Bombyx mori: one gene and its partner. The protein of the gene in region 2 interacts with the protein of the main gene of each other region in a biochemical or structural test. Links are inferred from orthologs where the notes say so. Each region holds a gene or a part of one and is shown on either strand. Other genes may lie near its edges.

Evidence for each region.
Region 1: of the proteins of Jnk (region 2) and transcription factor JunD, one has a biochemical effect on the other in vitro, tested with the Drosophila melanogaster proteins (2 studies listed by BioGRID). The link is inferred for Bombyx mori from reciprocal best matches to the Drosophila melanogaster genes bsk and Jra.

The regions. Positions count from the first base shown.
Region 1 is NC_085125.1:13,168,614-13,171,591, forward strand, and holds the end of transcription factor JunD, read right to left. Parts: coding exon 2,338-2,978; 3' UTR 717-2,337; downstream 1-716.
Region 2 is NC_085109.1:1,366,749-1,370,586, forward strand, and holds part of Jnk (c-Jun NH2-terminal kinase), read right to left. Parts: intron 2,306-3,838; coding exon of another isoform or gene 2,178-2,305; intron 1,316-2,177; coding exon 1,186-1,315; intron 533-1,185; coding exon 434-532; intron 28-433; coding exon 1-27. UniProt on the Drosophila melanogaster protein: Mitogen-activated protein kinase and key component of the c-Jun N-terminal kinase (JNK) pathway which phosphorylate and activate transcription factors involved in a wide range of biological processes including response to various stresses, cellular proliferation, differentiation and migration, and regulation of cell shape.

The DNA of each region.
Region 1 (2,978 bases), on a different chromosome or scaffold from region 2:
ATATAGGTAATTGATTCGTAGAAGAGGTAAAAAGAGCAGTGCTTTCGACATCCTCCTCTGCTATCGATCCAACTGTATTGTCATAAAGCCCTTTTTCAACTGTAATGTTTAAATCGTAGGAACTGTTCATTCATTTTTATAAAACACGAGCGACCCGCCCTCGCTTCGCTTCGGAAACTGTAATTTATTATTGATTTCTCCACTATTTAATGGATGTTATTATACATATAAACCTTCCTCTTCAATCACTCTATTTATTAAAAAAACCGCATCAAAATCCGTCGCGTAGTTTTAAAGATTTAAGCATACATAGGGACAGACAGATATAGGGACAGAGAAAGCTACTTTGTTTTATACTATGTAGTGATGGAACATGATAATTTACTTGCCACTTGAGGGAAATGTCACCTTATACTTTAGGACATTGTTTATTTACAATGCCCCACACGTGTTACAAATGTCATATTACATATTGTGTCCCGATTATGAATACAAGCATCATGTAGATCTTACGTAATATCGTATTTTATGCTGATGAATCAGCAAAACAGCTGTTATGCCGTAATATTGCCTCCTTGTTTACGATTACATTGCGTGCTAACTTTGGTTTTTTCTTCACAATAACATTGTTTTTATGCTTTTTATCTTTCGATATATATTTTTGTGGCATATATGGAAAAACTAGGGAAAGTGTGAGATTCTTAAAATGAAATAAATTTTAAATGGTATAATAATCCTCATAATTTATTTTTCTTTCATTGTTTTTTTTTATACAATACACGTAATGCGTTTTATAAACAATATTGTTACGTTAAATTCATAGAAATATAATATATTTTAGTATAACTGTTTCTTTATTTTTTATAAACTTACAAATTATTGTTAACATTCTGAAGAATTTGTTTGTATAAAAATAATACAAATAGGAAGAGGAGATGCAACTCTGAACAAACTCAGAGACGCACCTCATCCTGCACTATAAACTATAACAATCCAACGTTTTTAATTGCTTTTATAATTACTTAAATTACTTACACAAGACAATGGTACAGTACAATTTCTTGTAGCACACAATGGTAACAAAAACAATAAACATATGTAGGTATAGCTTTAGTTTACAAAGCGTAGGCACTCGAGATTGCTACTTCATCCTAATTCATTAAAACATTCTCATTCTTACCAATAAATACTTACATCACACATTCGCTCTGTCTAATCTCTGTTGCATACATACATCACACAATACGAAAACTCTCACAAAATAAGTTTTTATACGGACGGCTTTAGATTACAAGTCACGTCCTCTACAATACAGCACCGGTTCAGTTCCGTGAAATCATCTTTCCTATCAGAAAAAAATACATTGCGCTCTCTCGTACGTACTACAAGCAAGGCACACATTCAATCAGTCTCGCACACAAGCGCGCAATTTGTCTTCAAACAATTCAAGCGTGACGATCGACAACGTTCCATTTCGCGCCAGTGCCTAAGATACTGCACTACTGCAGCGGTAAAAAGCTAACCTTGTGCAACAAAACGTGATTCGGAACGTCCGATTGTTGAACACATGGCCGCCATTCCGCGAGGGCGGCACAGGCGGAATTTTAATTAGCAGAACATCCGCTCGTGACTTCGCTGGATGCGCCGGTGCCAGTTTTACGCCATGCTATCTCCTTTACTCGTATTAAATTTTGGTCCTGTCGATGCCTGTCACAGTGTTCTTTGTCTAATGTACAAATTACAGCCAAAATGAGATTTTATTATTAAAATTAAGTCTATTTATAAAAATGGCTACACAATAGACAATAGCAAAACAAATGCAACAAAGGAGAACAGCAATATCGTTGAAACGGGGAAATAAACGTAAAACTGGCAACGTCGCATCAACCTCGTTTAGTCTGTAAATGACGTCGCAAGATTATCCTTTCTAGTTTCTACACTATTCTAAGTAAAATGAGACAACTCAATACTGATACGATGAAAACGAATCTTGCAACTTACGACAGAAGCTAAGGCTTTCCAAGTTGTGACTTGCGCTAAGTACATCCTTCCTTTTAAATATTTGCAATATCACCGACATAACTATTCTCATACAACAATAATTACAATAGTGTCCGCAATCGACGGTTCTCTGCATAACACCACTGGCAAACCTAATCTCTCAAACTTAACCAGAAATCCACAGCATTCTTTAACGTAGCGACTTTAACACCTTACACACTAGGGTTCATTAACTATATATTACACAGTAAAATTAAGATCACAAATCGCTTTGTATGCTGCGTCCTAGCGGGCGCGACTAGCATGGAATGTGGAGGAGCGGCGATGGCGACGCGATCAGAAGTGCGACTCGATGTGGCAGCCACCATTCGCATGCTCTAGGACCTGCTCCTTTAGCCTGTGCACGTGGTCCCTTAGTTTCACCACCATCTGTGCTAGTTCAGCATTTTCACCTTTAAGAATTTTCACTTTCTCTTCCAGCTTTGAAATACGTTCCAGCTTACGTCGTCTACATTTGGAAGCGGCTACCCGATTCCTCTGTCTCTTTCTCTCCAGTTTGATCTTTTCCTGAGTGTCCATGTCGATGGGTGATAGCGGCGGCGTGCTGGCCGCGCTCGGCACCGTCTGGGGCTCATCCTTCACGATGGGAGTGGGGTATCGCTCTAGCGGCCTGTCCAAATCGGCATATACTCGACGTCCGAGCGGCGTCACTGCCTCGCCGTGGTGCAGCTTGTCTAGCGCTTCGACGAAAGGTCGCGCGTACATTTCTTGTTCCTCCGTAGGTGCTACTGCGGGAAATAAGACAGGCGCTCCCGGAGTAGGGGTAGCGGTTGTCACCATACCGTTTTGAATGATCAATTTTTCCAACTCAGGAGATCCGAGCTTCAACATTTGTAAATCTGGCGAGGAGAGAACGGGTGCAGCGATTCGTGAACGTTTCCCACCCCGCCCAACATCCAAGGTTAGGGGCCTTTTAA
Region 2 (3,838 bases):
TTCGTGATCCAGATCCATCTGAATCACCTGCAATTAGCATTTTAACGCTTTTAGTGCCGAACTTGTTTCAATACAATTTACAAAAATAGCCAAAATATTTCTCAAAAAAAGTAGGACATTTAAAAAAAAAAAACAAAAAAAAAAATTACATTTGTAAATCAATGCATACAATGGAAAATATTTTGAAATGGTTCTTTATAAACGTTATTTTAGTTTATTAAAAACATGATTGTTTATTTGTATATTGTGAATAAAATTATATCCTTACATTATAAGTTAGATTAGTTTTCGTTATCGTGTTGTTTTATCGTATAATTTTACTTACTTACTATCGTTTTACTTATGTCTTTTATGTATCTTTTTAGCTTGTGACATGTATTGTGAGCCTAATAAATAAACAAATAAATAAATTAATTAATTATACAGGACTGACTTGGCACAGATTAGCGTCCATCAGCTCCATAACCAGATACACGTCTTGGAATTCCTCGAGGCTTTTCTGCGGCGTGAACGCGTTTAGCAATCCGATTATCTACAAACAACGGCACATCATTAAATTTAAATACTGAACCTCTATTGTCATGCTAGCAATTCCTTTATTGCCATGGAAGAACTGCAATTTAAATGCCGGCTGCATTGTCAAGTCGTTGACAAGAATCTCTTAGGCCAGGGGTCGACAAGCAGAAGCCAAATATAGATAGCACGTAATTGGATTTTATTTAAGGTGCCATTTTTTAGAACATATTATCGAGGGGTGAAGGGTTATTTGGTTTAAGCGAAATTTTTTGAACTTTACAAGAGAGCCATTAAAAGGTTATCATTTTGAAAAATATATTACGAAAAAAAAACTTCTTCAACTCTTTGAATGGAGTAAACTTAATTGAAGTTCAATTAAAACGTCGAACAATAATAATAATCAACGTTAATACCAAATAAAAAGCACCTTTAATTACGAAAATAAATTTCGCGTATTAAGCGAAATTTCGCTAAAACCAAATGTTCTTTCACCCCTCGATATATTTCTATAGCCTTTTGTTTAAAAAAATTTTACTCTTTACAAGGCAAGATAGTAAGCAATATTTTGTGCCTACACTAAATATTTCGCGAAAGAGTCATAGCTGTTGTATCAAAGGGCCGCGGGTTGCCGACCACCTTTTTAGGCAAATAAAAAATAACCAAGCTTACATTTTTATGGTTGACAAGTTTCATAAGTTTGAACTCCCTGTAAGCTCTTTTCGCGTGCGTCACGTTCTGAAACGGACGCGACAACTTCTTTATGGCAACATTCTGTTGCGTCACCGTGTCGTATGCGGCACTGGAATACAAAATCAAACAGTTTAGCTTTAAATTTTATTAATTTTTTATTAACACTTAGAAATCGATGAGCAATCATTTCATATTATAAATTCAGTTTCTTCTTCAGCGTGGAGCGGAGTGAAAAAGGTTGTGGTAAAGTTCATTTAAACGAAAAATCAAATACCAATAGTTTATTTTAATTGCCGCCGTAATGAGTTAAGAATTGTTTATGGTTTTTTAGTGAATAATTTACCTGTTTATACACACACATGAACATAAAGAATTAGAGTAATAAACTTATTAATAATAATAAATACAATATTTATAAATAAACCTATTAAAAAACCGGCTATTAAAAAAAACGCAGTTTGAAAATTATTAAGATAAAGCCATGCATATTAATGTAATGACGAAAGTATGTAGTACCAAAAATTTACCTGTTCAATACATAAAAATCAAAACGATGTTTTAATACTATTTATGATACAGATGATAAATGTGCAATACTGAAAACTCGTATGTCAATCAAAAAAAATCAAAAACAGAAAACGGCCATTTTGAAAAAAGTGACAAGAGCGGGAATTAAACATCACACTCACTCGTTAGCTTTATTCCAGAACGATCCTTTTTCAACATTATTAATCAGCCATCCAATAAACCGAAACAATGGACACCAATCGTGAATTTCGTCCACCATCGAATTTCTTAAGAACAACATTTTAATACCAATAAAATCACAAAAATACAAAAATAAATCCGTTGCACGCAAAAGTTTCACATACGGACATCGCTTGGTTAACGCGGGAATTTTAAATTAGTACAGATTAGTCCCAAAAGCTTGAAGCGGGAGTTTGATTGACCATTGTATTGGCGCGGCTTACCACACCATGCCCTGGGCGCCCGCGCCTCTGACCACCAGCTCAGTGTACCGGGTCGGGATAGTAAACACCGCATCACCGACCGTCACTGAGTAATACTGTATCATCTTACCGCTATTATACTCGATCAGCTACAAAAGAAATTGCATGTTTATTTTCTTCATGCGCGTGTGTGACAGTGTTCTGGCTGAATGATTATGGATGTTGTTGCTTCTTTTTCAGAATTAGCACCCCTTTTTAAAGATATTTGATTTCTAAGCGTAATGTTGGTGTGTAATGATAGCTTCGGGTCTTTAATTATTAACGTTTTATGTTTGTTGTTCACAATTAAATTGCAAGTTCTCAATGGCACAGCATAGACGAATGAAAGAACTCTCGAACCATCTGGTCTTAAGTGTTTACAAAAGACCATAGAGAATAGAGAGAGCTGTCAACATTTTTGGATGAAACAATACAAATAATAAATACACAAATATATAGTACGTAAAATCATGCCCCTTCATAATGTAGATAAAACTAATATTTATAAAAAAAAAACTATCATTAAACTCTATCGAAAATCTAATAATGTGAATATTTTAAAACAAAATGCCAGATTGTGAATATGTATCGTGCTGGATCGTGCAAGAGTGATAGCGTGCTGTATAAAAATTGCGAATTATTAAGTAAAATACACATAAGAATTTGCCTATTCTTAAACTTATTACATTGCATGCATGCTACTAAAGAATGAAGTGATTATACAACCCACCGTTGTTTATAATTCGATTTAAAGAATCTCATTACAAAATAGAACGCACGCGATAGAGATAGGTAAGACGGAGATGACGCCATCATGTCCGTGCCGGTCGACAATACTCCCTACCACTTTAGAGGAGGAAATTGGGATAAGAACTTTGAAAAGTAGAGGTTTTTTTTTAATGCCCTTGTAGGCATACTCCCTACCACTTTAGAGGAGGAAATGGGATAAGAACTTTGAAAAGTAGAGGTTTTTTTTAATGCCCTTGTAGGCATACTTCCTACCACTTTACAGGAGGAAATTGGGATAAGAACTTTGAAAAGTAGCGGGTATTTTTTTTAATGCCCTTGTAGGCAGACGAGCACATGGCCCACCCGATTGTGAGTGGTTACCGTCGCCCATAGCCTTCAGCAATGCCGGGGGCAGAGCCAAGCCACTGCCTAGTAGTTGGGGGGATGGGATAGTTTTATTGGGATACAAGTTGAGGATATGTTATAGCAACTAAAAGTGGCCGGACGCGCGTGGTAACAGCTAGAGACGCTGTTACCAACTTAAGAATCTACTAACCGTAATATGTTATTCTTTAAATATTTCTTATGAAACTCGAGATCTTTGCTGTGATTCCTAGTTACATTATTTAAACAAAACTAAGACAAATTATCACGTTGTTACTTAAAATGTATTTGTAAAATGTTAAGTGCAAATCATGAAACTGTAATCCTATAGTTGTTTGCAAAATGTTTGTATAAAAGCTAGAGTATAATAAACTGGTGGTATGATCTCTTGTGAGTCCGCACGGGTAGGTACCACCACCCTGCCTATTTCTGCCGGAAAGCAGTAATGCGTTTCGGTTTGAAGGGTGGGCCAGCCATTGTAACTATATTGATACCTTATGTCTCAAGGTGGGTGGTGGCTTTTACGTTGT